4 linked regions of the Diceros bicornis minor genome follow. The protein of the gene in region 1 interacts with the protein of each later gene in a biochemical or structural test. Links are inferred from orthologs where the notes say so. Each region holds a gene or a part of one and is shown in the gene's direction. Other genes may lie near its edges. The genes, in order: CREBBP, ETS2, FOXO4 and ZNF106.

What was found.
Region 2: the proteins of CREBBP (region 1) and ETS2 form a complex in vitro, tested with the Homo sapiens proteins (2 studies listed by BioGRID, with this or other methods). The link is inferred for Diceros bicornis minor from reciprocal best matches to the Homo sapiens genes CREBBP and ETS2.
Region 3: the proteins of CREBBP (region 1) and FOXO4 form a complex in vitro, tested with the Homo sapiens proteins (2 studies listed by BioGRID). The link is inferred for Diceros bicornis minor from reciprocal best matches to the Homo sapiens genes CREBBP and FOXO4.
Region 4: of the proteins of CREBBP (region 1) and ZNF106, one has a biochemical effect on the other in vitro, tested with the Homo sapiens proteins (2 studies listed by BioGRID, with this or other methods). The link is inferred for Diceros bicornis minor from reciprocal best matches to the Homo sapiens genes CREBBP and ZNF106.

The regions. Positions count from the first base shown.
Region 1 is NC_080765.1:44,566,461-44,573,511, forward strand, and holds the start of CREBBP (CREB-binding protein), read left to right. Parts: upstream 1-4,040; 5' UTR 4,041-4,255; coding exon 4,256-4,340; intron 4,341-7,051. UniProt on the Homo sapiens protein: Acetylates histones, giving a specific tag for transcriptional activation. Mediates acetylation of histone H3 at 'Lys-18' and 'Lys-27' (H3K18ac and H3K27ac, respectively).
Region 2 is NC_080766.1:38,840,016-38,846,911, forward strand, and holds the start of ETS2 (protein C-ets-2), read left to right. Parts: upstream 1-3,889; 5' UTR 3,890-4,038; intron 4,039-6,896. UniProt on the Homo sapiens protein: Transcription factor activating transcription. Binds specifically the DNA GGAA/T core motif (Ets-binding site or EBS) in gene promoters and stimulates transcription.
Region 3 is NC_080781.1:64,409,380-64,417,363, forward strand, and holds the start of FOXO4 (forkhead box protein O4), read left to right. Parts: upstream 1-4,967; 5' UTR 4,968-5,451; coding exon 5,452-5,904; intron 5,905-7,984. UniProt on the Homo sapiens protein: Transcription factor involved in the regulation of the insulin signaling pathway. Binds to insulin-response elements (IREs) and can activate transcription of IGFBP1.
Region 4 is NC_080744.1:40,078,404-40,085,882, reverse strand, and holds the start of ZNF106 (zinc finger protein 106), read left to right. Parts: upstream 1-4,465; 5' UTR 4,466-4,582; intron 4,583-7,479. UniProt on the Homo sapiens protein: RNA-binding protein. Specifically binds to 5'-GGGGCC-3' sequence repeats in RNA. Essential for maintenance of peripheral motor neuron and skeletal muscle function.

The DNA.
Region 1 (7,051 bases):
CTGGTTTCTGTCTCTGTGGATTTGCCTCTTCTGGACATTTTCTAGAAATGGAATCACACAATATGTGGTCTTGGATGGCTGTTTTCCTTCAGTGAGCATCACATTTTTAAGGTTCATCCATGTCATAGCATGTACTTCATTCCTTGTATGGCTGAATAATATTCCATTGTGTGGATATAACACGTCTATCCATTCATCAGCTGATGGATTCAAATGGACTTCTCTCAGGAAATCTTTCCTGATTTATCTCCACCTCTTGCTCCTCTGCTGGTCCCTCCTCGCCTCATTCTCTCGGCCCCCGAGCATTCTGTAAATGGGGATTCATTGATCTGAGACTAGAGACTAGAAAGAGCAGGCAGCCTTAGGTTTGCAACCCAGGTGAGCCTCTTAGTGACTGAGCGACTTGCCCTCCTCTGGGCCTCATTTCCTCATCTATAAAATGAGGACAATATTTCCTTCCAGGATTGTGGGAAATGCAGATCCAAGTGTGGCAGAGTGTCCTGGCACACAGAAGGCACTCAACAGTGCCAGGTCCCTTTCATCTGTTTTGACCCTGATCCTCAGCTAAGAGTGTGCGGGCAGGAATCATCCTTCCTTTCTTGCTATTCCCCCATCAATGTCTGAGCACAGCGTTCTTGGATGAGAGTCACACCAAGGGGAGAAGAAACAGGAAAGAAAAAGCAGATATCAGGAAATACCAGCAGAACTGATCAAAATGATACAAATGAGACAGAAAAGGGACAGCAGAGCAGGTATGTTTTAGGGTTGAGCAGGAAGAACATGAGGTTTCGAGTTTGTAGACCTGTGTTTCAGGCCTGGCCCTGACATGTCCAGGTCATTTACCTCTGAGTCATTGGGACTGGGTCTCCTCAGTTTCTCCCTTTGTAAAAGTGGACATGACATGTGCCATAGCTGCCCACTGATGGGGGATGGTGTGAGCTCATGTGCACATGGCTGTGTAAACCATTTACCGAGGGACCCCGAGGGCCAGGTGGTGACCCAAGGCAGGCTTCGGTGACCTGACACATCGTCCTCTCTGTGGGAGTGGCATGGAGCTGCCTTAGGCTGGAACTCACCCTTCTCAGTGACCTGGAGGCCTCTAGGACTTAGGGAGACCTGACATTGTTCATTCACTCATTGATTCATCAAATTTTACAAACCTACTTCTTTTTTTGTTGTGAGGAGGACTAGCCCTGAGCTAACATCCGATGCCAATCTTCCCCTTTTTTCTTGAGGAAGATTGGCCCTGAGCTAACATCTGTGCCCATCTTCCTCTACTTTATATGGGACGCCGCCACAGCATGGCCCGACAAGTGGTGCGTTGGTGCGCGCCCGGGATCCGAACCTGTGAACCCCAGGCAGCGGAAGTGGAGCGTGCGCTCCCAACCACTTGCGCTCCCAACTGCTTGCGCCAACAGGCTGGCCCCAAACCTACTTCTTGAGGGGCACTGTACTATGTCTAAGATATGGCCCTTGCCCTCAAGGGGCCCACAGACTGGTGGTGACAGGGACACACACGGCACATTCAGATACAAGGTGCTGCCAGCCCTGTGTTACTCTATGACTTGATACATTTCCCGCCTTCCTGTGCAAACTGGCTTCTTGAATACTTCTGTTTATGATTTCCAGGGCTTGCCATTTGGCCTCCTTGAATATACAGGGATTTCTTTCTTTATTCTTTGCCCTCAGGAGATTCTCAAGGGATATTTGATGGATAAATAAAAACATGAATGGATTGAAAAAAAAGTGACAAAGTGTGAGGTGTGCCCTCACAGAGGTCTGTCCAGAATGCTGTGGGAGTCCTGAAGTGGGCTAGGAGGGCTTCCTGCAGTAGGTGACATTTGAACTGGGTCCTGGAGGATGAGTCAGAGTTTTCCAGGCATATGTATTCTCAGTACAGGGAACAGCATTTGCAAAAGCATAAAAAGGCCTGAATGATAAGAACTTCCCAGTGGCTGAGTGGTTGTGGAGGAGTGATGGTGGAGTGAGGGATGGAAAGTGGAAGAGACAGATGCTGGGAAGGAGGGGTGGGCAGTACAAGATTTTGAACAATATAGATAAATACAAAAAAGTAGAAAGATCACTCAGTCTTGACACTTGAAGACAATCACTCTTTTGGTATATAAACAGACTATACATATGGTTTTTTTTTTTAAACAGACTATATATATATAGTCTTTTTTTCCCCATGTGTAGGAGCTATTTGTTTTAAACAGAGTTCTTTCTCTCTTTTTCCAGGAAGTTAACTCTGGTGCTGCATGGGGAGAAACGTGGAGCGCAAGGGACACTGAAGTTGGAAGCTGCCACCGTAGCCACCCGGGCGATGCCGGACGACTCGGGTGTAGTGGGATGGGGAGGAAGGGCCGTTTCCCAGGTAGAGGACGTGGGGAGCCTGGGTGCGAGGTGATGGAGGGAGGGAGGAGTCCGCACTCCCGTACAGGTTTCTTGCTTAGGAACCGGGTTGCTGGTGATACCTTTCAGATAAGGACTTAGGGATGAAGCTCCGGCACGCTTTGAGGAGCAGATAACAAGCTGAGATGTGAACATCTTAGAGTTTTGTGGAACCGTCTTGCGGGGAGTGGCCATGCGAGCCGATCTCCCCGGGACCCACACCTGTCTGGGGCACCTGCGGGGGGCGGAGCAGGAGCGCGCGCAGGCCAGCGAGGCCCTCCGCGCTGACGTAAGGGGCCCTCTAGGCCCGGCGCAGGTGACCGCGCCCCAGCCCGGGGGGCAGCGCTCGCCCCTTCCCCTTGCAGGAGAGGGTGTCGGGCCTGGGGGCCCCATCGCATGGGGCTGGTGAACAGGGGCTCAGGAGTCCTGCGTCCCCTACACTTCACTTGAGGGGGAGTATTCGAATCCCGGCCCTGCCACTTCCTGCCTCAGTTTCCCCATCTCCACACGCTCGCAGGCGGACCCGAGGGCGGTCTGTGACCTGCAGAGGACACGACACGTCGCTGGCCTCCGGCGAGGGGAAGTGGCCAGGCCGGGCCCGGGTCGCCTCCGACGTCGCTAGCAGGGACATGAGGAGCTGGGACCGGGCAGAGTCGCCCCCGAGGGACGGGGGGGCCCAGCCGGCACCGACTCCGCGCCTGGAGCCCGGCCCCCGGCCAGGCCGCCGCCCATGGCCCTCGCCGGGCCCCGCAGCCCAGTCGCCGTCAGAACAAAAGTGACGGCCGGGTTGGGCGCTCAGGGTCTCGCAGGCCGGGCTACCGCCCGGCCGCCCCACGCACAGCGGTCGCGCCTTCGGCCCTTTCCGCCCGAGCGCGCTCGGCTCTTTCCGCCGCGGCCGGCGCAGGTGGAGGGGGCGGGGCGGGGGCCGTGCGTGGTGACGCCGCGGGGGGGTGACGCACCGGCGTGCCCCGCCCCCTCCCCCTCCCCGTTCAGGCTCTGGAAAGAGAAGAAAAAAAACTTTCTTTTTTTTTTAATTGAGGAATCAACAGCCGCCATCTTGTCGCGGACCCGACCGGGGCTTCGAGCGCGATCTACTCGGCCCCGCCGGTCCCGGGCCCCACAACCGCCCGCGCACCCCGCTCCGCCCGGCCGGCCCGCTCCGCCCGGCCCTCGGCGCCCGCTCCGGCGGCCCCGCTCGCCTCTCGGCTCGGCCTCCCGGAGCCGCGGCGGCGGCGGCGGCGGCGGCGGCGGCAGCGGCGGCGGCGGAACGGGGGGTGGGGGGGCCGCGGCGGCGGCGCCCCCGCTTCGCGCATTGTTTTTCCTCGCGGCGGCGGCGGCGGCGGCGGCGGCGGGCCGCGGGCGGGGAGCGGAGCCCGGAGCCCCCGGGTCGTCGGGCCGCGAGCGAATTAATTAAGTGGGGCGCGGGGGGGGAGCGAGGCGGCGGCGCGGCGGCGGCACCATGTTCCCGGGAACTGCCTGAGCCGCCCGGCCGGGCGCCGTCGCTGCCAGCCGGGCCCGGGGCGGCGGCCGGGCCGCCAGGGCGCCCCCGCCGCGGAGTGTCGCGCTCGGGAGGCGGGCAGGGGATGAGGGGGCCGCGGCCGGCGGCGGCGGCGGCGGCGGCGGCCGGGGGCGGGCGGTGAGCGCTGCGGGGCGCTGTTGCTGTGGCTGAGATTTGGCCGCCGCCTCCCCCACCCGGCCCTGCGCCCTCCCTCTCCCTCGGCGCTCGCTGGCTCGCGGCTCGCGGCTCCAGGCTCGCGCTCGCTGCTCTCCCCTCGCAGCCGGCCGGGGCCGGCGCCGACCCCCGCCCCGGAGCCTCGCCGGCCCCGCCGCCCGCGCTCGGGGCTGTTTTCGCGAGCAGGTGAAAATGGCCGAGAACTTGCTGGACGGACCGCCCAACCCCAAACGAGCCAAACTCAGCTCGCCCGGCTTCTCGGCGAATGACAGCACAGGTGAGGAGGAGGCCGGGCGGGGGGCAGGGGCCCCGGGGGTCGCTGTCGGCCCCCCGGGAGGGGAGTGCCTGCGGAGACCCGAACTCGGCGGCGGGCGTGCGGAACCCCCGAAGCGGAGGCCGGCGCAGCCCCTTCCCGGGACCCCCGCCTGAGAGGGGGAAGTTTGCGGGGAGACTGTCGTGGGGCCCGAGTGGGGCGGCACATGCCCGGTGCACTCGGATTTCTTGGAGAGCCTCGCGGGGAGACCGAGTGGTACTTGCAGGGAGAAAAGTAAAGTGGAGCGTGGCGATTCCATCCGCCTCCTTCTGCCGCCGTGTGTCGACACACGCGTGGCCGGGCGTCTGGAGGGATGACAGCGGAGGGTACGTTTGATGGTTAGAGACAGAAAGTGCAGCCGAAAGGGGACCCGAAGGGTTTTCTGAATTGGTAACACATCCACTACGCGGCGGCCAGAAGACACTCAGAGCAGCAGCCCGCCTGTGAGTTACGACTTAGAAGTTTCTTGGAATGTTCTCCTTGGAAAAATGCTTAGTAGCTAATTGAAAGGCTCTTGTTGTTTGGTCACCTAAGTCATGCCATTTTTCACCACCCCAAACTTTGTTAGCAAGATGTCATAAGAGTGGCTGTAGTGTGTGTAATTTCACGTGTATAACTTGAAAAGAAAGTTAAATAGATTCGTTTGGGTTGCAGTCGCCGTTTGAGCTCCTGTTGCTTTTACAGTGTAGGTGTACAAAAAATTATGTTAAGGAATGTAGTGATTACGAGTTTTCAAAAAAAAATTTAGCAGGATAGTGAATGTCATCCTTTTCTTCATTAAACAGTTTCCCTGAAAACTTTCTTAGGTAATCATATCAGTTGCCTAAGAGAAATATTTTAGTTTTCTATTCATTTAGTAATTCTGGCTTCTTCTGGGCTGGTTCATGGTAGCATTATGAACAAGTTGTATTTCCTCTTTTAGAGCTCTCCTTTGCAGTAAAAACTTGTGCGCTGCTGCGAACAATTCGGTCTCCAGCGCAGCTTGCATTTCTTCAGTACAGTCTTGTAGTAGCAGCATCTGAAAATTTAATGAATGGGCCCAAATTGAATTATATTCCTGCAGCAGTGCCTTCAGATTTGTAGTAGACACAGCTGTTCAGCTCGTGCAAATATTTGTATGACTGACCACTAGCGTACTCCTATGAGTAGTCTAAAAATGTTTCTACTGTTGAAACAAAACTTGAATTTTTTGACTTAAGTTTTAATACAGTTCCTTGAATATTAATGTAGAAGTGAGAGAAACTTTTTTTTTTACAAATCGATCATAAAGAGATTCTTGTCTAGTTAAAATAAAGTTTGTTAAACGGGGGAGGAGTAAATAAAGCTCATGATATATGAAAGTCACTAATACTCTTTTTTTGAAAACTAATGGAGTTGAGTTTGTTAATTTGGTAAAATCAACTTATCTGAAGTGAGAAATATGGAAACAACCATGATGTAAATGTCCTCTTACTGCAGAACAGATCTCCATTGCTTCGTTAATCTTGCCATGTTTGAGTGAAAAGTCTTTAATCAAATGAAACATAGATCATACCAGGCAAGTTCAGCTTTGAAACCTGTCCTCTGAACTGGTCACTTTTGAATGGCTTTGCAGTTTGCTCTTGTTGAGTGAGGTTACTGTAGCTTTTGAAAGAGGGACAAATTAGTAACACAGACTTAACGCAAAGGCTTGTCCAGCTGTATATCCAACTGTTTCCAAGATGGAGCCCAAAGGATGGCCTTTGGGTAGTTCTGTTATTGGATGGTCAGATATTTACTTAATGTGCTGCTAATCGCAACCAAGTTTATCAGAAAGGATTTTCCACCCTTGACCATTTTTTTCCCTTCCTTTACGATTTTAACCCTCGTAAGGCATGGGGGCTCTTTTACTTTTCCAAATGTGGAACAGAAAAGTCAGTTTTTAATAGTTCTGATTTAAATAATCCAAAGAATAAAATTCACGATCATATTTATGTCCCGTACTTGATTACATGTTCATCAACAACATGAGAGGGTTATTGTGAAAGGGTCTGTTAGTGTCTGTTAGGTCTGTTAGCAAAGAAAGGATCATGGTCGAGCACATTAAATAAGGTACAGCCTTGTCTCACGTAACTACTAGTCTAAGACAGAGATCTTAAGCGTGTATATTAAGCAAATAAAGAACTAAAGGATTAAATTTCATACAGTCAAAGGAGTGAAGGCATTTGGTTGTATGGGAAGGTAAGGAAAGACCTGGGAATAAAGTTCTTAAGAGACTCAGCTTTGTTTTACTGAGGGAATGTGTGTTTGAGGCTTCGAGGAGAAAATTGGGCCAGGTGGCACAAGGTGTGTTCCCTGCTCATGTGATAAAATTTGAGGGAGGGGAGCTCCGTGCATGGGAAGAGCTGAGGGGTGAGGAGGAGGAGGCCTTGCTGGCCTGATAAACAAGAGTGACTTGGACTGCCACTATGCGGTACACATCTGTGGGGACTGGCCTGTGGAGCCATGGGTGTCATTTAGATGAGGCTAGGGAGGCTGGTAGTGGGCGGAGAGGAGAACCTGACGTTGGGGAGCTTACCAGCCAGGGTGCTGCCTACAGGGCACTTGCAGTCTAGCTGGCTGGGGGAGTGTGGATGTGCATAAAATACTCCAGTGAGACAAGGTGGCATCTCCAAGTGATAAATGCCATTGCCACCTATGACAGATGGGAGAGGTCA
Region 2 (6,896 bases), on another chromosome or scaffold:
AGGAACCTTAAAGAAGAAGATAGACATTGCCTGCTCTTGCATAGTTTGTGACCACCCTGTCAGGAGGCGGGGAGCCTGCTAGATGACCCTAGGTCTGCCTGGGGTTCCTGGTACCTGTGCCACCAGCAGATGGGCAAGACTGGAGGGCCGGCTGGATAGGATACATGTTGTACGAATATTTGGAGCTGGGGGAAATGGGGGTTATAAAGTTTGACTTTATCTGTTTCTTGACCCCAACATGTATCAATGGAATAATTGCTACTTGCCAGACACCACCCAGCGACTGCAGGGTGAATGGTCAGCAAAGGAAACACAGGTGCAGAACATGCATGAATTAAACTATTTCTATCTCTAAGTATATTTTCTTCTCCCCCGGCCCCCACCTCCAGGATTTCCAAAGTCTCACATTTGTGTGTGATTTTTACAGTACCATGTACTACATTCTTACTTCTTCGAGGACAAGGACTAAGCCTTACTCATCTTGGTCTTCTCAACAGCTGACATTGTGTTTGCTGAATAAATGATATACCTCAGACCAAATGACCTCTGTTTAGTTTGCAACTGGAGACCACCTCGAACTGTGTGTTAACTATTGATTTGGATTTCAAGGTAAATACAGAGGTATTTCTAAGGAAATGTTTTTGCTGTTTTTTTTTTTTTTTACAGGATGACTTGATAAGCTAATCATTCTTAATAATTACGTCTGGATTCTAAAAAACTCTTTATCTGCATTTTACTCTCTGGACATTTAGTACTTATAATGCATACGTTATACTGTAATGTCCTCTTTCCTCCTCCCTTCTATGAGCTTCTCTCTTTCTTAAGGGAAAAGAGATTGCTCTTAAACTCAGCTTGACATGGTGCATCTGAGCATTTCACCCTGCATGCCTTCTGACTTCTAATTTCCTTCTAATACCTTCGACTTTTGATCTTGAAGCACAAGGGCGGTACTTTTATTAGGTTTAATTTACTGTAAAGCTCGGTGTTCCTTGTGAATCAAGCCATAATAGTCAATGAATAATCGCCAGCTTCAGCCAGGCCAGGTTTTAGTTCTGCTGAGTAACTAGGAAACCGACTAATAACAGGAAGGCTTAAAAATGTTAGAAACCCCAACATCGCCCCAAAACTAAGATAAGCCATTTTATCACGAGCATGGGACCACCCAAGCGTAGAGGGACATCAGCCACCACGTAGGTCCCCAGGCCAGGGGGCTGCTTGGATGAGCCCAGGCCTCCTCAGAAGGGGAGGCAGGGAGTGACAGGGGCTTGCGTGGGGGACAAGAGCCCAGGCTGCTGTGTGACCCTGGCTTCCTCTGCCTGGCCCCGTGCATCTTTCAGCTCTGCCATTTGTGCTTCTGGCCAGACCATTCTCAACAGGCTTTCACACATTTCCATCTGAGAGAGTAGGGATGATTTTTTTTTCATGCATATAATATTTTTTTCAAAGGGTTTTTCATAAAATGATCCCAGAGGGAAGATTGCAATAAAACCTTGATCGCTCTATCATTGTGAGCCTCTCTTCCATGGCTCAATATTCTGATAAATCCTTTACATTTTCGGTTCCATGTCAATGGTCATCACAGCCTTATGACCTAGGTTCCGTAATCACCTTTTCTTCTACAGAGAGAACTGACCCCAGGTTTGAGTTCGAGCAGAAGAAAAATTGACTGTCAGGAAGGGGTTGTCTCCAAACCCCTGTGCTCTCTTCTTTTGACCTCTTTCTGCTTGGACATGTTGGAAACGGCCCAGCATGAGCAAAGCACCCCTCCCAACCCCCAGCCTGCACCAGCCCCTCAAGTAGGAGTGATGCCATCCCAAAGAGTCAGTGGACCTCAATGACTCAGGGAGCCCCTGAGCATCCCGCAGTGAACACCCATGGGCACGGGAGCAGGTGCTGTGGACAAGACCATCCCACTTGAGCGACTGAACTTGACCTAATGCAAGCGTCTCAGACACTGTGAAGGGCTGTGTGAGAAGCCTGGGGGAAAAGACCTTCTATTAGCTGAAACTGCAGCCCAGATGAGTTACTATTTTCTGCTACAGTTAAAAAAAAAAGTACTCTTCACGATTCCATGGTAACTTAGTATGGATCTGTATTTCATTTGTGAAACTCCTTCTTGACCTATCTATGATTTTTGATCCGGGCCTGAACAGACACAGAGAAGCCATCAGAATCAATTCCACCTCCAGGAAACATTAACCCCCTGCAAGCGCTCCCGGTTGTTTCAGCTGCATAGACCCAGCCTCTGACTCATACAACGGTGACACCGGAGACCCTCAGGCACCTAGAAACATTAACGTGCAATGTTATCTCAATTATCGGGATCGCGCCGGATTTCGGGTTGCCATGGAAACCAGGAACCTTGGTAACAAGGAAGTGAGGCAGTTCCTCTCCTTCACGGCTCCGCAGTCCCTGAGCTGCGCCAACTTTCAGTCCCACCGCCATGCCTAAGCTGAGCTATTTGATTTTATGCCCACTTTCAGGAATCTAATAAATTTTCCTCTCAAATATTGAGAATCTGACCTGAATCTGAATAGGAAATGCACACATTTCTAGCCATGCCTTCAAGCATTTTCTGCTAAAAATGGAAACCGGCACTGTGGGTGGCAGTTTCCCATGGTTGGGAGCCTGATAAAATCGAGTTTCAACCCTGGATTTCCCATTTATATGTTTTATGACCCAGCAAGTTATTTACCCTGAGGTTCAATTCCCTCATATTTATTTATTTTTTTTAATTTATTTATTTTTTTATTATTTTGTGTGTGTGTGTATGTGTTAGGAAGATCAGCCCTGAGCTAACATCCATGCTGAATCCTCCTCTTTTTGCTGAGGAAGACCGGCTCTGAGCTAACATCTATTGCCAATCCTCCTCCTTTTTTTGCCCCCAAAGCCCCAGTAGATAGTTGTATGTCATAGTTGCACATCCTTCTAGTTGCTGTATGGGGGACGCGGCCTCAGCATGGCCGGAGAAGCGGTGCGTCGCTGCGTGCCGGATCAGAACCTGGGCCGCCAGTAGTGGAGTGCATGCACTTAACCGCTAAGCCACGGGCCGGCAGAACTCCCTCATATTTAAAGTGAGAACAATAACGCCTGGGAGAATTATCATCAAGATTAGCCCAGAGAAGCCCACTCCAGGCTGGTTTCTATTAAGGCACCGCTCAACTCTAGGGGGTGCCACGCACCCGGAGGCTGTAGGAATGCGGTCTCCCGGAGCAGGGTGGACCCCTCGCCCAAGCAAAGGTGGGCAAAGGGCCCGGTTCGTACATTTATCATCTCATTTAGAGTCTTTTCCTGATAGAGTGATCAGAAATCATAAGCCCAGGAGGCGACCCAAGAATGGGGCCAGAATAAGCCCCTTATTTCCCAAGCCCTGCGGCCACTCGGTGCCACCAGCACCACCACACCGTTCCTGCCGAATCTGAGAGGCACGTTTGGTGTTAAAGCCTCAGGACAAGGGGAGGAGACCGCATGCTCCAAGAAGAGACTCTCCGCCGACCTCCCGGGACCCACGATCGCACAGGGCGCCAGGCCTCCGAGTCCCCAGGGGCACAGCGTTCCTGGAACAGCAGGCCAGGGACAGAGCCGTGTGACAGCGGGCGCGGAGCTAGGTCCCGGCCGGAAGCAGCCGGCTCCGCCCCCCCGCTCCCCTCCCCTCCCCTCCTCCACCTCTCCTCTCTCCCCTCCCCTCCTCCTCCTCTCGCTCCCTCCCCTCCTCTTTCCTCCCCTCCCCGCTCTCTTTTCCCCTGCCCCTCAGCTCCTCCTCCCTCCCCTCTGTCGTCTCGCCTCCCTCCTCCCCCTGCTCCTGAAGAGCCCGCCGCGAAGGGGACAGGCCGGTTACTTCCTCCAGCGACGGCGCGGAGCGCAGCGTAGCCGCAGCCCCGAGCGCCCGGAGCCGCCCGCCCGCGTCCCGGCGTCCCGGAGCGCCCCTGCCCGCGCGCCCTCGGCCCCGCGCCCCGCCGCGCTCGCCCTCGCCTTCGCCCGGCGCGCCCCGTGGAGCCCGGACCGGGAGCAGCCGCCGGCCCTGCCCGAAGCGGCGCGGTAAGAGCGGGATCCGGGGCGGGCGGGCCGGCCGAGGTGCCAGCCGGCCAGGCGCGGGCGAGGGGGTCCGCGGGGACCCAGAACCCGGGCGGGGGAGGTGGGTAGCGCCGAGGTCCGGATCCCCGGACGCAGCTGGGGGCAAGGCGGAGTGGCGGCTACTCCTAGGATTCGGGAGTCGCGCGTCCGGGTTCCGTTCCGCTCCAGGTGGCCCGGGGCAGGGCGCGGGGTGGGCCCGGCCGTGACGCGCGGAGCCGGCCCGGACCCCCGCGAACTTGGGCCGCGGCCCCGGAGTCGCCGAGCCGGCTGGGGCGGGCGGGGCGCGCTTGCTCGTTTCACTTGCTTTTGTTTTTAAAAAGAAACGCGGGCCTGGTGGGGGCCTCCTGCCAGTGGGTGCCCCGCGGACCTGATTTCGCACGGGGGCTGGGGGACGCAGGAGAGGGTGTCTGAGGGTCCCCGGCGCGCCCGGGTTTGCTGGTGACTTACTGGAGCGCGCCGGGCCCGGGTGGATCTGGGGCGCCCGGCGCCTAAAACACCTGAGAGGCTGCGGCTCGCCAAAAACGCGCGGGGCCTCCGCTCACCTGCTCGGCCATGTCCTGGGCCCGGCCGGGCGGCGGGCGAGGGAGGCGCCCTGAGGGTGAGCTGGGACTTCTGGATCGGGGCCCCTCGGTCCTGCGAGGCGAGCATGAGGAGCCTGTCGGAAATGGAGATGTGGATGCGCAGGGCTGCCTTTATTTTCCCGTTCTTAAAGCATTTTGAACGAAGGCATAACAGTGAGCGTTTGTGCGTGTGTAGGGTTTTATTTTATGTTTTTAAGCACGAGACTTTTTTATATTGGCCTGTATTCAATTTCAGGGTAGCCTAAAATAGTAGTTGACGTACTGCTTATTTAGAAAGTAAAGAAGTGAGCAGTCCCCTTTGGAGATAGGGGTAATTTATTTTAATTCACCAGTAAGAGATTATGTTTATTCCGGACAATGGAAGCGCCTGTTCACTCTCTACCTGGCCGCACCACCACCAGTCAGGGAGATAAATCTCCAAGTGAAGGTTTATTAAAATTATGAGTAATATCACAGTAGAGTAAATGTTAGCCCCGTGCGTCCTGCAGGGAAATATTGAAACACTCATTTATGGACTTAGTCATTCCTCTGTCTAAATTGATAACTTTCAAAGGAAAAAGCAAAGCAACCCTCAAAAATGCATTTCAGGTTTGTTTTTGTTTTCCAAATTTACCTAAATACAAACATAATCTCACATAAGCGATCACTTGTTCTAATAAGGATACAGTTGTCTGGCAAGTTCTTCTTGTTTTAAAATTTAACAATTCTCAGCCCTTATATTTCTGCCATTTTTTCTTTTTTTGTTCCAAAGCAACACCAAAAGGATCCAAATCTGAAATTGATTCATGTGAGAAACTTGGCCTGTCTGCCACCTTAACGAACCGTGATGAGTGAAATAAGTGAACTTAAATTTGGTTAGTGCCGTCTGCCTGAAACCGTTGGTAGAACACTTTGATTCTACGTGTTTTTTACGAAACAAATTAAAAGCTGGACAACAGAAGAATTCTATTCTGTAGCTAGTAATTACAGCTCTCTATGTGGGAGGGGTAGACTGCCTTTTCTCCTGGTATTTGTCCACAAAAACCTGACAAAGCTTTTCCACCTCCTTCGGCATCCATTCTCTGCCCATCTCTGTGAGGCTGGAAAGCATAGAATAAAGTCAGCAAGCTGGCTGCAAACAGGATGCAGAGAAAGTGCTGTCCTACTGCGCTCTGGATGGGTGATTGGCAACAGTGAAGATGTTTTTTCATTTTGGTCTTCTGTTGCAGGCTTGTGTATTTAATCGACAGGTAATAGGACCTAGTTCATCCAGACAAATGACATGAAGCTCTAAATTAAGGAGCATTTCACATGGTGAAGAGGAGTGAGGCGGGGCCTGCTCTAATCATATCTATATGCTATCTCTGCTCTGTAGTGATGTGGGGGAAGGGCCCATTCCTTACCTTTCAGGTTGTCCTGGCATGTGGAGGAGCTCAGGATTAGGGCCATACTCCACAGGGATTTGGTCTCACTCTGCCCCGAGGAGCCCCCGCAGTAGCTGTGTGATCCTGGGCAAGTTACCAGAGATCTCTGGGCCTCCGTTACCTCACTGTAAGATGGTATAACATCCACCTGTCAGGGTTGTCAAGGAGGTGGGAATGGGTGACCCCCCAGCTTGGGTTTAGCTCTTAGGGAGCAGGATTCTGTCAGGGCAGCCAACAGTAGTAGTGCAGAGTGATTCTTGATCACCAAGTGGAGGTTCTGAGCAAATGTGGCCTCTTGTGATCCAGGACAACCCCTCTCCTGCCCTCCCCGAATAGGGCTGTTATTTATTGCCACTGCTTTCCAGTGTCTCCTGGCCACCATGATGGTTACCCACAGTGAGGGTTTTAAGAGCCCTCTCCAATGCCTCTGGACTCCCTCTGCGGCAGAAACTCTCCTCCCATGCTGCCTCTCTAGCCAAGGGGTGTGTGTGTGTGTGTGTGTGTGTGTGTGTGTGTGTGTGTGTGTGTGCGCGCGCGCGCGCGCGCGCGCTTGCGTTCTTGGGAGTTCTGGTTTAGCCATACTGTTGATGATAGCGAAAAAACAAGAAAGCACAAACTCAGCCTGGTTACGGGAAAATATGCTGTTTGCCACCTCCAGTAAGTTCCATCAATTGCACAATATTTTAATTACTCAAAGTTCTTAGTTGTAAGAGGTGGGAGCACCCATTGGAGACCACGGGGGTGGGCAATTATGGGTTACCCCGTAAGGCTTCCTTATAGGCCTTCAGTTCCGTGGCCGGGAAGCCCCCTTTCTCACTTATTAATATATAACCTACCC
Region 3 (7,984 bases), on another chromosome or scaffold:
TTTTGGTGAGGAAGATTGGCCCTGAGCTGACATCTGTGCCCATCTTCCTCTATTTTGTATGTGGGACGCCACCACAGCACGGCTTGATGAGCAGTGCATAGGTCCACATCTGGGATTCGAACCTGCAAACCCTGGGCTGCCGAAGCGGACCACAGGAACTTAACCACTATGCCACCAGGCCGGCCCCTGATGTTCTATTCCTATAATCTTAGGACATTTGTACTCTTATTATGGTAAAGTGCCTCAAATCCCTTATAGAAAGAGGCAAAATATAAAGCATATTTCCCAGTTTAAAAGTTATACACATTCATAGTAAATTGGAAAAATATAAGAAAGTAAAAAGAAAAAAGATAACAATTGTTAACACTTTTTGGCATTTCCTATCTTTTCTCAATGTGTTTTAAATAAAATTATGAGCATACGGCACATAAAGTATTGCATCCTGCTCTTTTCACGTAACTTTAAAATATAAGCACGTTTTCTTGTATTGGAAACTCTTTGGTTAATAATTCTAGTAAATATCATGCCAGTAGGACTTTCAAAGGTTGGAACCATAGAGGCCTGCAGGAAGAGTTAAAGAGGAGGCTCAAAGGTCAGTTCAGGCGAGCCCCAAACCTGAGAGATGCAGCTTTTTGACCTTGTTCCTGCAGGGAGCCAGGACCGAATTTGTGTGGGTGTGAAGTGAAAGCTCAGGGTAGCCTACGGCCAAAAGGGCAATCTGGGGTCTGGTTGAAGATCATAGGAAATAGGATTTTAGAGGTTATCCAATACAACATTCTCATTTTGCAAAGCCGGAAGAGGTGAATTGACTTGTGTAGGCTCTGGAGTCAAGACTGCCTGGATTTATACCTCTGCTCTACCACTTAGCAACTCCAGACCTTAAGTAGGTTCCTTTACCCTCTCTAGGTCTCATTTTCTTCTGTGAAATGAAAATAGTAATAGCATTTAACTTACATGCTTACTGTGTGGATTAAATCGGATAATCCATGTAAAACTCTTAGCACAGTGCCTAACACATATGAAAACCCATAAATGTTACTTATTAATAGTAGTGTAATTATTGTCATTATTCAATTATTTAGTGACAGAGCTATGACAAGGACTCAGCTCTCCTGACTCAACCTAGTGCTTTTCACTACATCAGACTGACTTTTAGGGTCCAGAAAGGAATGATAGTTGCCTCCAACTCAGTAGTGGTGCTAACTCAAATCCTCTTGGGGCTAAACCTGAGGACTTTAGTCTGAGGTGCATTTTATGTAAAAGCATCTAGCCTGGTGTTTGGAAAATAGTAGGCTCTTACAAAATGTTTATTAACTTAAAAGATTTTTTAAAACAACAGCAGGGTTGGGAGAGTGGTACAGGCTTCTAAGAGAAGGACTAGAAATCTTTCACAGAAACACATAAGGCAGGACTTATGGAAGAGGGCTACCAAAAACATGTACATTCCATACCCATCTGTGAAGACCAAGGACAAGCAGAGGTGGTGCTTTCTGAGATTCCTTGAACTTTCTCATTGTTATTTTTGTTAACTCCTGCATCTTTCCCTGTAGTCACTAGCAAAAATCCTATACAAACCCCAGGTGGAGGTTGTGTGTTTTTCAGAGCTGGGCAGGGTAAGAAAGAAGCGGGGAAATGTCTATCTCAATTCAAATTAATAAAGCCGGTTTGGCAGCAGGCTTGGGGGGTGGCACCCAGGTAGAAGAGTGGGCAGTGGCAATGAAAGAGGCAAGAGAGCCAAACCCCTATGACCTTCGAGAGGAAAAAAACAAGTGTTGAATGGGGAGCTAGTTGAGACCACAAACTCAGAGGTTGCAACTGGGAAAAAGGCCTGTGCCCCACCCCCCCATATCCTGCCATATCTGTTCATAATTTATGACTACAGTGGCTTTCTGGGGGTCTCCTGTTAGTCTTCTTTCCTGACCAGTGTCTCTTCTATTTTCCAAGGCCACATTGCTAACTCTGTCTCTTGACTAATGTATATTCTAACACTCCCACAGTAATAAGGGGGAGACAACATGCCCTCCTGAAATGAAAAGCCATGTAACCACAAGCACAAAATTAAAGAATACAAACTGAGTTCATAGAGGTACAGGAGATGCAAAGTAGGTAAGTGATCTGTCAGGTTGGGCTAGTTGGGGAAAGTTTCCAAGAGTACGTAAGTTTTGAGCTTTGAATTGGAAATTTAAAGAGGCGATGGACATGAGTTGGTGGAAAAGTGGCCCTTTTCAAACAAATGCACAAAGAGAGACAATGCAAGATATAACTGAATCCAGGACAGGTGCCTGCCCCACCCTGCCATTTCCCTGCCTCAGCAGCTCTGCATGATCTGCCACCACATCTGTTTCAGTTAGAAGAGAGCTCCTTGTGACCTAGTGCCCACCAGGCTCTCTCTTCTACCAAATTCCCCACTCTTGTGGCACCTACCAAGTACTCCAGGCTGTGCTGCAGGAGGAAGAGGCATATGCAGGAAATGTTTGCCAGGCATTGTGAGCAACTATGTCCCATCTCTCGAGTCTGGACCTCAGGTAGGAATACACGGTCTTTTGTTTACTCTCTACATGACAGATGGAGGACAAATGTATGTTGGAGTAGAGGGAGGCAGGAATATGTAGAACCAAGTTTGTTCTGTTACCGTAAGCAGACTAACATCATTTTGGAGGCCCAATGTGCTGCTGCCTTTGAAAAATCCCAGGTTGTATGGATATCCTTCCTGACAGGGAGAAGGTCTGGTCATCACAGAGCACGTATCAAGCAACACTGCAAATGGTATAATGCTAGGCACTGTACAGACAAGTTAAATTACAGTCCCTACCCCTAGGAGCTTGCTGTCTAAAGGGAAAATTGGGACATGGCCAGGCAGAAAATACATATGATACATTTATTAAAAAGTTGTCGAATGTACAAGTGCAATGTCATTTGATTCCTGATCCCATTCATTCGACCAACATTTATTGAATGTCTCCTCTGTGACTCCAAGCTGGGGTCACAGAGATACACAAAACTTGTCTCTGCCCTCAAGGAGTTCACAGTTTAGTAGAAGAGACATACATGTAAACAAATAATGACAATACAACATGGTCTGTGCTATAGAACATAAGCCTGCACAAAGTGGTTGGGAATGCAGAAAAGGGAGAACTAACTGCACCTGAGGGAGACAGGAATGGTTAAATAGGAGTGTTCCAGAATAAGAGACTTGGGGAGGGGATGACGAGAGGGAGGACATCCCAGGATGTGCAGGCAAAGGCATAAAAGGGTATGGTATTTCCAGGAAATAGTGTGAAACTCTGACTCATTGGAACTTAGTGCGCCCAGTGAAAGATGAAGCAGGAAAGGTGGGAAGTGGTCTGAATCTGAGGAGACCTGTATGCCTTGCTAGGGAGTTTGAACTTTATCACATAGGCAATGGGGAAAATCAAAGGCAGTTTTAAGCAGGGAAATTATATGATCACATATAAGTGATATGATCCCAGTTCTCCTGCCTCCTAGCTGTGTGACTTTGGGCAAGTCACTAAATCTCTGAGCATTAGTGTCATCATCTATAAAATGGGGATAATAGTGGCACCTACCTCGCAGGGTTGATTTGAGAAGTAGAGGAGCTAATGTATGCAAAACAATCAGCACAGTGCCTGGCCCATAATAAGTGCTCCATAAATTTTAGTTAGTTATTGTTATGAGCAGAGTTTCTTAGAAAGGTAACTTTGTTGGCAGCATAGAACATAAACTGCAGTGGGGAAAAGATTGATGGCAGGAGGTCCGATTAAGATGATATTGCAGGGATGGCCCCGTGGCTTAGTAGTTAAGTGCACGCGCTCCGCTGCTGGTAGCCCGGGTTCGGATCCCAGGTGCACCGACGCGCCGCTTGTCTGGCCATGCTGAGGCTGTGTCCCACGTACAGCGACTGGAAGGATGTGCAGCTATGGCATACAACTATCTACTGGGGCTTTGGGGGAAAAAAAAATAAATAAAATTATTTTAAAAAAAGATGATATTGCAACTTAATCCAGTGATAAATAAGGTCTTGAACTGGGATTCGGATGTGGGAAGTTAGGGAGATGAAAAGGTGAAGGGTAAGTTTAGCTTGGAAGATTGGGTAGATCAGGACAACCATTAACCAAATTCAGAGATAAGGGTAGCCAGAGGATAGGGGTGTGGGTGCAGGAATAGATAAACGAGTTCAGTTTGGGACCTGTTGAATGAGAAGTGAAGCTGCCTAAGACGGGAACCCAGAGAATATCAACATTTAAGGGGAGGCCAGAAGACCCAGTGGAGAAAACTGGTCTGCGACTGCACTGTCAGTGTGAACTGCGTATGGGAGGTTGAAGGGGCTGAGGGAGATGCTACCATCAGCTAACCATTTGTTTATGTTACACAAGCACTCAACTCCCCAACATGCATACAGCCTCTTTTCTAATCAGTTCTTTGGTTCTCAGTTTTGTTTCTTGTAGATACCACATTTTTTTTCCTTTTGCCCTCTTTTAACTGAAAGAGGGAAAGGTCTAGCATCTCTCAACACAGTCACCTAGGCGACCCTGAATCACAAGAGAGGAGGTGGGAAGCGGGGAAAGGAGGAAAATGATTTTTAAAAAAAGAAAAAGAGTCCGCGAAGATCTCTAATAACTAAAGTTCCACCTCCCTATATCCTGCCACGCCGCTCTCCTGCCGCCCTTATCGGGCTCCTGGCCGCGAAGTAGGACGGGAAATGTAGTCCTCAGGCCTGACCGGGTGGCACGACTGAAGAACTCAGTTTCCCAACTGCCTCTCCAGGCGCGTGCGCAGATGGCTGCCCCGGCGAGTGGTAAACAGAGACGTGAGGCGGGGGCTGCTGCTTGGAGCAAAACAAAAGGGAAACCCGGGGGGCGGGGGGTGGGGGGGTTGATAGGGGAATTGGTGCGGGAATAAGAGGGCCAGGGGCTGCGGGGACGTGGACCTTATCAAGAGTGGAGGGAAGGGAAGAGGCGGAGGGCGGGGGAGTCAGGGGAGGGGCAAGTGACGCGGGGGAGCGGGGCGTGGGGGAGGGCAGTGATCCGGGTGGAGGAAATTTGGGAGGAGTGTCCGGGGGGCAGCAACTTAAAAGGGAGAGGGAACTGCGGCTCAAGAGACGTTCGGTGATGGGAGCGCAATGTATGAGGGGATACCGTGCCTCAGGTTTAAAAGAGCAGGAAGCTGAGTGAGAGGTTGGAGAAAAAGTGTCTTCGCTAGGCGGAGGTTACAGGTGGTGTCTCGGAAAGAGCTCTTGAGGCTGCAGGCTGTAGTCGAGAAGAGGATCCGAGAACTGTGTGGAAGGGACAGCTTGGGGGCTGGCGTCTTGGGGCGAGGGGGAAGTTCGCGACTTTCTGAGGACTGGCAGGAATGTGCCTCCTGGCCCTTAGTGCTTCCCCCCTGGGGGGAGGCATCGTAAGGGACTGTGGCAGGCTCCTCTGAACGCTGAGCGGCGGAGGTCCAACTCCACGTATGGATCCAGAGAATGAGAATTCAGCCACAGAGGCTGCCGTGATCATAGACCTCGATCCCGACTTCGAACCCCAGAGCCGTCCCCGCTCCTGCACCTGGCCCCTTCCCCGACCAGAGCTTGCTACCGAGCCGTCCGAGCCGCCCGAGGTGGAGCCAGGTCTGGGGGAGAAGGTACACACGGAGGGGCGCTCAGAGCCGATCCTGTTGCCCTCCCGGCTCCCAGAGCCGGCAGGGGGCCCCCAGCCTGGGATCCTGGGGGCTGTAACAGGTCCTCGGAAGGGAGGCTCCCGCCGGAATGCCTGGGGAAATCAGTCATATGCAGAACTCATCAGCCAGGCCATTGAAAGTGCCCCAGAGAAGCGACTGACACTCGCCCAGATCTATGAGTGGATGGTCCGCACTGTGCCCTACTTCAAGGACAAGGGTGACAGCAACAGCTCAGCAGGATGGAAGGTAACTATGACCCCCTTACCTCCATCCCAATACTATCTGCCCCTGGGCCCCCTAGCCTCCTTACTTCTACTCTGGGGCCCCTTTTACACCCTCACCTCAGAGATTCACCTTCAGTCGTCAATTAGACCAACATTTGCTTAGGAAATAATATATGCCACGCTCAGTGCTTGATGCTGGAGTGTCACAGATGAATAAGACACTGTCCTTGCCCTGGAGAAAATTGAATTCTCTGCTCACTGCTCAACACTCCCAGCACTTTGGCTTGGGCTGCCCCAAACACTTATTCCCACAGAGAAGTCTTTATCCTATGTACAGCAGGAACTGTGTGGATTCCCCACAGGAGCCTAGCTTGCCCTCCTCCCCCGCCTCCCACCCCAACACCTTTTCTCCCATTCCTGTGGGATTACTTGGATTCCCCGCTTACCTCCCAACACCTCAGGGTAGAGGTACTGTTGTACCCAAGAAGAGGGAGTGGAGTGGAAAAAGAGAAGAAGAGTGATCTTCATGGGGTAAGGTAGCTGATCTTATGCACCAAGAAAAAAAGGCTGTGAACTGCTACCTGCTCAGTTTACCCTATAATGCCAAGAAACTCTCCCTTGTAAGGAGCTATCCAAGTTTGGGAGGAAAGTTTTCTTTTACTGTTGAGGAATGTTAGTCATGAAAAAAAGAGATAGGGCTCTGACTTCATAGCACAAGGTTGGGAGTTCCCTTGGCCTTCCATGAAGAAACTGTGAGAAAAGATCTCACTAGATGCTCTGAAAATGTGTCCTGAGAAATATGGGGCTCTATTCACGAAACTGGAGAGCTTCAACCCCTATGGATGTATCTTGTATCCTCATAGGTGGTGAGGTCAGCATACAAGGAAGTACAGAGGGTTGAGTGAGCAGAGGTTCTTCCCGTAGGTATCAAGGGATCAGATCTGCAGTATCCTAGGGGTTGGGCAGAACAGAAAACAGGACAGCTGACTGAGACCCTTGGCACTATTTCTGGGTAGACTGCCACGCCACAGTCGCAGCTCATAAAGAGCTCCCCTCCTTGGACCCAGCCTACACAGCTGTTTTTCTTTTCCCTTAGGTTCATTTTCCAGGGTAGGAGAAATAATCATGAGTTGTTAGTTTTGCTGTGGGAGTGTAGTCTCTCCTTCTAATTTACACTTATATGGGGCTCTTTAGTTTACAAAGTAGTTTTTAAATTTTTTATTTTATTAATCTTCACGGCAATTCTGAGATTCCACATTTTACATATTAGGAGCCTGGTATAGAAAAGTTAGGAAACTCACCTGATATCAGTACAATAAGGACTTGAACTCAGGTCTAACTATAAATCATATGCTCTTTCTGCTAGTCCATGCTGCCAAATTCTCTTCATTGAAATGATGGCAAAGCCAAATCAGGATGAGCCTGGGGTCTCCAAGGCTCTCACCCCCACTCCTCATCCTCACTCCACCCCAGGAGGGGAAGCCTCACTCCTGAACTGGCTTTCCTAGTGATGGGCCAAGGTTACTACCACCCCACCAGGGGGCGGCACTAACTTAGAACAAGAAAGCTTAGTTTAGGTGGCTTGGGGAGCAATTAGCAGTCACCCCGCTTCCAACAGGTAAGAATTAGAGGCTTCTAGGGAGCTGACCTCTCCAGGTAGGAGGCTGTACCGTGTACTAGTCCCAAGGCCTAAAGAAGAGGGGATGAACAAATGGGCCTCATGTGTATTTAGTAGTAGGGAAAGGAATGGGCCTTCTCAGTAGACCCAGAGTTAGAGGACAAAAAGGGGGGAAATCTTGGTGCCAGAAGTCACTGTGGTCCTCGGTTACTAAGAGCCCAGGTTGGATGGACAAGTGTGATTTTTTTTTGAAGGAACTGAGTATTAATGCAGCCAGAGTAGTTGGAGTGCCATTATTGCATGGTCCCAGGGAGACTAAGAGTTCTTTGGCTAAAGAGCCCTGGAACAAGAAGCTACTTAAGCATCTTTTCCTAGGCAAAGGGTCTCCTTATCTAGAAACACATGAAGTGATTTCTGACTGTCTATAGCCTCAGCTTCCTAGTTGTTCCAAGCCTTTCTGGGCTCCTCCTGAGTTTCTAAACAC
Region 4 (7,479 bases), on another chromosome or scaffold:
CTTTACTTCATTTTAAAAATGAGTAGATTAGACCCAAAACAGTATTTTCCAAAGGGCAGAGCAACAACAAGAGATGATTTTAGCTGTTATATAAGCAATAGTTATGTACTTAATAGTTATGTATTTATTATAATGTGTACTAGAAAAAATATTATAAAATACACAAAACTAGAAAGTATTATAAAATACAAGACCAGGATTTCGTAGATTATCACTTTGGAAGAGGGTAATGTTCAAAAAAAGTCTATTAAAAATACGAAGTAAAATAACACAGACGATCCTCTAAAAGGCAAAATTTATGATGGTGGTATGGTTCATGATAAATGAAGTACTGACAGCTGTTCCACGAGCAACAGGGCCTGTTTTGTTGTTTGTTTGCTTTCTTCTTGATTTAAGCTTGTGTTCTGAATGATTAGAAAAAATGTGACCTTTAGTTAAGTGAGCTTGTTAGTATACTTAAGTTCTTTTAGAGTAAAAGAAACAAAGGCTAAGATCCATACAGATATTCTACTGTTCATAGGAAACAGTGTAATAAGGTTAAGAAAATAATAGCACAATAAGTCAGTCCTATTCTGGAACTAAGATAACAGCAACTTTCTAGTGCATATCCACATACCACAAGCACTTAAAAAAAAAAAAAGCCCTAGCAACAATGATAAATATTTAAGCTGTAGGCTAAGTTATATGATCATTTTATTTACTTTCACATGACCTGTCAAAAGAGAATGGTAATGTGAGGTGTTTCTCCTGTTTCTCCTAATATTTGCTAGTATTTATACGAATGCGGTCTTTTTCATTACCTCTTGCCAAAGGAACAAATGACAAGGATCACTGAATGCCTTAGGCATCAACTTTGCTGGTGGCAAAAATATTAATTTTTAAAAATTTTACTATGAGACATTTTAAGATTAGATCTCAGAGTATTCTAGCTAATGATGCCTCATGCATTTCAAGTGTGGTATTTTCCAGGCTACGGAAGAACGTGAGAGAACCAAGTAAAACAGGTAAGATTGTACTTTCCTAGAAAGCATGGACTCGCCAATGCCATGAACCTCAGAGATCTTCTTCAGACAACTAATTCACAGTTATCTGATCACTGTGGTCACCATACAGTCTATTAATCCCGACCACAGCAAACCTGTGGAGGTCGGGGGTGAGGGAGTGAGAGTTTACCTCCGCTCGGTTTCAAGAAAGGGTCCAGAGAACCACCATCCCGCCACCCTGCCTGTGCCGGCCTCTCGACAGTCTCCTGGCGCCTCGCGTCCTCGCTCCGGGCCCGACCTGCCCAGTCCGAGCCACAGCCCCGCTCCTCCCCTAAAGCCCGATCCTACCAACTTTTCAACCGTCATGATATACTCTTTCTCCTTCGGATACGATCCCAACCTTCACCTCGGCCAGCTCCCTCAGCCCCACTCCTGGAGACTCACCACGCAGTTCGGCCACTCCTCTGCGGCCTCGGCAGCTCGGACACCCCCAGACTGGACTGGGACCTGCCCCTTCTTGCGCCTGCGCACGCCGGCCTCACACGCCTGCGCACTTCCCCGGCGCCGCGGGTGCGGCCACACCCCTGCAGCTGGAGCCAATCACGGTGCGGGGGGTTTAAATCTCCCTGCCACGCAGGCGAGGAGCCTGGGGACTCACCCGTTAACCGGATAATTCGAGTCCCGCTTGTAGGTGGGAAGTGTTCAAGCAACAAACATTTACATGTACCGTACTGAGGGCAAACCGCCAGGCACTGTGCGGGATGAACACTGAGGAAAAGAAAGCGAATAGAATGCCTTCCCTGCCCTCTAGGGTCTTTTGATCTGTCTAGACTGGGAGATAGATATGTAAATAAATTATAGTGGATAGAATATAGTGCATGGCATATAGAAAATCCGAGGCGCCGCTGGCGCACAGTGAACACAGTGCCTTATTCTTAGGGGTGGCTGGATGGGTTCCCGGGGGAAATGACTTTTGAGTCATGAAGGATAAGTAGGAGTTCCCCCGGAAGTCCGGGAGGGAGAGAGACTATTTTCCAGACTGTGAGAACAGCGTATGCCAAGAAGAACATAGCGCCTTCTGGAAATTACTTGTAGTTCATCCTGGTTAGAGGTTTAGAGCTCATCGTATATCTCCAGGTGAAGGGGGAATAAGCTTTAAAAAGTTGGCAATTGCCAGATCTTGGGAGGTCTTGCATTTTTGGACTAGTGACCCTGCACTTTATACTGTGATCACTGAGAGCTACTGAAGGGTTTTAAGCAGGTCTGGGAACTCTTCCAGGCACCTCTAAAAATAAAGCACAGTGCTGGGGGGGAAAAATGCTTTAAAGAGGGAATATTCTATTCCTAAGGGGTCAAGGAAGATGAAGCCTGAGAAATATCTTTTGAATTTAGTAACACAGAGATCATTAGTGATCTTAGCGAAAGCTATCTGTTGGGATGAAGTTGAAAAATAGATTGCAGTAGTTTGGAGAGAGAGGAGATACAGAAATGGGGACAGGTTGTAGAAAGCTTTTGGAAAGTTTGGCCTTGAGGGTAGGAGGGAAAGGGATGACAAGGGGTCAAAGTTTTTTGTTTCTATTTCTTGGATTTTTTGTTAGAATTAAGGCAGGAGAAACTTAAGCATGATAGGGAATATGCAACTGAGAAAAAACAGTTGAATAAAGAGAAGTGCTAGTTAGTAGGTAAAGATCTTCAGAGGGTAAGAATGGAGGCAATCCAGAGCACTGATGGGGGGACAGTCTTAGAAGAGAGATCTTCTCAATTATAATGAGAGGAAGTATGTGTCTGTAAGTTTGTATGTTTAGTAACAGAAAGTTAAAGAAGTTCTCATCTGATCACCTCTGTTTTCTCTGTGAAGTAGGAGATGAGGTCATCTGCTGATAGAAAAGGAGTTGGGAATTTTAAGAAAGTGGAGAAGATTTGGAATGTTGTAGAAAGTGATAGAGCAAATTGACCAGAGGAAAGTAGTAGAACTGGTAAGCCATGTTGAGGGCCTGTATAAGATTGGTAAAAATGAACTCACCAGTTTCTGCCCTCCTGCATAGATTTCTCAAGCAGTAATCACTTCTTGAGGTAGAAGTGGAGAAAATGTATGGTTGAGTTCATTTAGCGTTGGGATGGTCACTGGCATAATGCCATGGTTCTCAACCAGGGACATTTTCCTTTTTTGGTCTCCAGAAGACATTTGGCAATGTCTGGAGACATTTTGATTATCAAGATGGTGGGTGGGTGGGGATGTAAGGGGGCACTACAGGCATCTGGTGTCCAGGGATGCTGATAAATAGCCTAAAATGCACAGGAGAGCACAGGAACTATCTCCAAAATGTCAATAGTGCCAAGGCAAGGTTGAGAAATCATGATCTAGGATTACCTTGACGCTCACCAACAGCTGACCTTGGTCTTCTACAAGCTTTTCGTTGGACTATGGTCCAGAGCTTATAGGGTAAAGCAGTTCTTCCATTGCTTGCCTTTAAAGGAGAGTAGAATGAGCAGCATACCTCAGACCTTGAGTGTTTCAAGGACTTGTGATGTCACAAACACAGAATGGGAATAGTTCCTCAATCCTCTAGAAGCAAATCTGGATTTACACAGAGATGAAGGGAGCTGCTTACTTTGATCTGAGGCATTGAAGGTCTTGTTAAACATAGATATTATTAGAAGTTCAACAATATAGGAGGAGTAACACTTCACAAATTATCAACCTTAATGTAATTTGGTTTATCTCACTAGTTTTAGTCACTAAAATAAGATCCCGAGAGAATGGGTATGGGCTAAGTTTAATATATATAATTAAGATAAATTAATATTAATAATTAATATAATATAAATACATTAAGTATTAATAAGAATGTAATTATTAGTATTAATGGATTATCTGCTCTTTGATAGGCACCATTATGGATAGGCACTTGACCTATGTTATGTCATTTAATCCTAGCAACACCTTGAGAGATATCCTAATTTTAACTCTGAGGAAAGTGAGGTTCCAAGAAAATTTGTAATTTACACAAAGTCACAAAGTACTAGTATCCAGGTCAAAAAAATTGGAACTCAGGTCTGTGTGTTCTAAAGCTCTTGCACCTTCCATTAAGCTTCAGTAAATTTTAGAAGGAAGGAGTGGTTGGCAATGTAGCGGCAACAGTTGCCACCGCCTAAAGGGAATGGTGGAGACAGGAAGAGACTAAGAGCAAGAGCGAGGCCCGGAAAGAGAAAGAGAATGAAGAAGGAACCGGGAGGCTGCTCACAGGAGCGTGCAGCGCAGCGGACTAACTTCGCAAGCCTGCCTGCCTTTTGTCTTCTCCCATTCTTTTAGAGTACATAAACCCTTTTCCCCCTGTGTCCGTTGTTCACTTTCGTGAGTTCAAATAAAGCTAGATTATTGAGAAAGGCGGACCTCAAAGGAAAAAAAAAAAGAGAGGGGAGCTCTACGGCGGCGGTGTGCGCTTGCGCGCTGGCGGCGGCGGCGGCAGCGGAGCCCGGAGGGGAGCCGGTTCGGAGCGGGCCGCCGGGCCCCAAACCGAGGGGGCGTCTGGGGCGTCAGGGAGCTCCCTCGTCTGGGCCTCGGCGGCCTGATGGAGTAAGAGGGGTCGCCTGTGAGTGTGAGTATCGAGGGGCCGAGCTGCGTTGAGGCGTATCGGAGCCCGAGGGTCCTGGTGGTCTGCCCCTTAGGGAGGTTTGGGGCTGCAGGACGCGGCCGGATCTCTGCTCCTGCAGGCCGCGGTGCAGGGGCAACCCGGTCGTCCCCTCTCCCCGAGCCGCGCGGGTTTACGGGCAGGCGGTGCTTTTGGCTTCGCGGTACAGATTCTCGCGGGGGCGTTCCGGCTCTGCTCCCAGCCGGAAACGTGGCGGCAGAGCCTTGACCTTTAGGGGAGGCCGCTGACCTCCTTCGGCCTTTGGTGCCGCAGGGAGCCCATAGAGTCAGGGTGCTTAAAGGCCTACGGGTCTCCGGCCAGGAACACCTTTCGACCACTTGTGACTTACAGCCTCCGTTCTTTTTCCTTCTTCCGTCTTCTCTCCTTATGGGATGCGTCTTAATAATAGCTGTTAATTATGGAGCGCTTACTATGTGTCAATTTAGTATTTAGTCCGAATCTGGGTGCATAATTATGGAGAGGAAATGCTTTGCACCCCACTCCCCCTTCAATCTGCTCGATTTAATTATCTTTGAGAGTCAGAACCATCTTTTGAGATTAAGCTATCTTGTTGGGAAGTTTGAGATTTCCATGACTCTTAGCAATTTGGGACTGCCATCCTGGTTAAGGGAAGTTCTTCTCTTACCTACCAAGAGAGTGCTTTATCCACCATAATGGTTTATATCGAATTTACTCAAGCCAGAATAACTTTGGAGCACTTACTAAGAGCTTAGTACTGTGCTAAACCCTTTAGGAAATCTTATAATTAGTTTTAAGCTCTTTCTCAACTTTAGTCGTGAATCAAATAATGGAAGATAATATTTAGATTCAACTAGGATTTATTTAGCACCTACTTCACCTACCACAGATACACTCAGGTCTGTCACAAAAAATTAATGAGATATTGTAACGGAAGGCGGTTTTTTGGAGCACATTTTAGATGAGGTCGCTGAGAGTTTGATGGTAATTTGCTTAAGCTAGTTTAGCTAGGGTTAAGTAGTGAAATGCACATACAGTGCCAAAGCTAATCTTTTTGCTGCTACACCAAGTTAGATATTTCAAGCACTTCTGCTGAGAAGCAACTGCATTCCAATTACAGTTTGTAGAGAACTATTGAGTCTAGAAAGTGGTAGCAGCCTTTAAAGGTACTTACTAGATGGTTTTTGAAGAGAACTTCACAGTGGCTTGGAAGGAGGTAGAAAGTGTGAAGGAGTCTGATCAGGTTAGTTTGGAACCAATTGCTTTGATTAAAAGGAACATATTTAGAAAGGAAAAACTGTGAATTGTGATTGTTGTAGATCTAGGTTAGAGCACATGTAGTTTGAAGACTACTGTAGAAGAGAAGCAAGGAATAATGGTGGGTGCTAGCCGACTTGGTTCTGGGACCAGGAATGGCTCAGTGAGAAGTGTACATATTGTGTGTTTTGTAATTGCAGCATCTTAGTGGGAAGTTTAGGATGAATTTGTGTACCCAGTGATTAAGAGCACCTAAGCAGACAAGTTACAAATGAAAACTCCATTTGCACATCCAGCATGCTAAATCTCTAATTGAAACCTTACAGTCAATTCGTGTTTTTTCCTTTTTTATTTTTTTTGTCTGAAAGAGACTGTCAAGAAATGAGAGTTCCTGAGTGTTGCTCAGAAGAGGACTGGTTAAATAAATTATGCATCTGTTAGAAAGAATGAGCCAGCCTTCTGTGTGCAAATATTGAGTGAGTTCTAAGATATAGTAAGTGAAAAAAAGAAGTGCAAAAGAGAGTGTGCAGTTTGCATCCATTTGTGGTTTTTAAAAATATATGTATTTGCATATATATGCAAAGAATATCTGGAAGAATGCATAAACTGGTAACAGTGGCTGGAGGTGGAGGTGGCTAGGAAACGTGAGTGGGAGGGAAGTAATTTTCTCTGTAAGCTTTTCTGTTTTATTTTTTATTATTAAAACTTTTAAACATCCCGAAAAGTAGAGAAAATACCGTATTGAACTCCTGTAAATCGATCACTCAGATTTTATGATCTGTTAATATTTTGCATTATTTGCTTTTTTTTTTTTTAACATTTTATTTATTTTTTCCCCCCAAAGCCCCAGTAGATAGTTGTATGTCATAGCTGCACATCCTTCTAGTTGCTGTATGTGGGACGCAGCCTCAGCATGGCCAGAGAAGCGGTGCGTTGGTGCATGCCTGGGATCTGAACCCGGACCGCCAGTAGCGGAGCGCACGCACACCCAACCGCTAAGCCACGGGGCCGGCCCATGCATTATTTGCTTTTATTCCTGACATTTCACCCCTAAATACTTTGATGTCACTAATAAGAAGAACATCTTCCTGCATAACCCAATATCATAATCACACTGAACAACAATTCCTCTATATTATCTAATACCCAATCCTTAACAATGTCCCCAAATTGTCCTCCCCTTTTTTAACCATTTTTGACGCAATTCCCCCTCAAAATTTTTTTTTTATAATTTTATTTATTTATTTTCCCCCAAAGCCCCAGTAGATAGTTGTATGTCATAGTTGCACATTCTTCTAGTGCACATAGCTTCTAGTATGTGGGACGCGGCCTCAGCATGGCTGGAGAAGTGGTGTGTTGGTGCGCACCTGGGATCTGAACCCGGGCCGCCAGCAGCGGAGGGCGAACACTTAACCGCTAAGCCACAGGGCCGGCCCTCCCCTCAAAATTTATGAATTGCATTTGACTATTATGTCTCTTTAAGTCCTTTTTTTTTTTGGCGAGGAAGATTCGCCCTGAGCTAACATCCGTAGCCAATCCTCCTCTTTTTGCTGAGGAAGATTGGCCCTGGGCTAACATCAGTCCCCATCTTCCTCTGCTTTATATGTGGGACACCTGCCACAGCATGG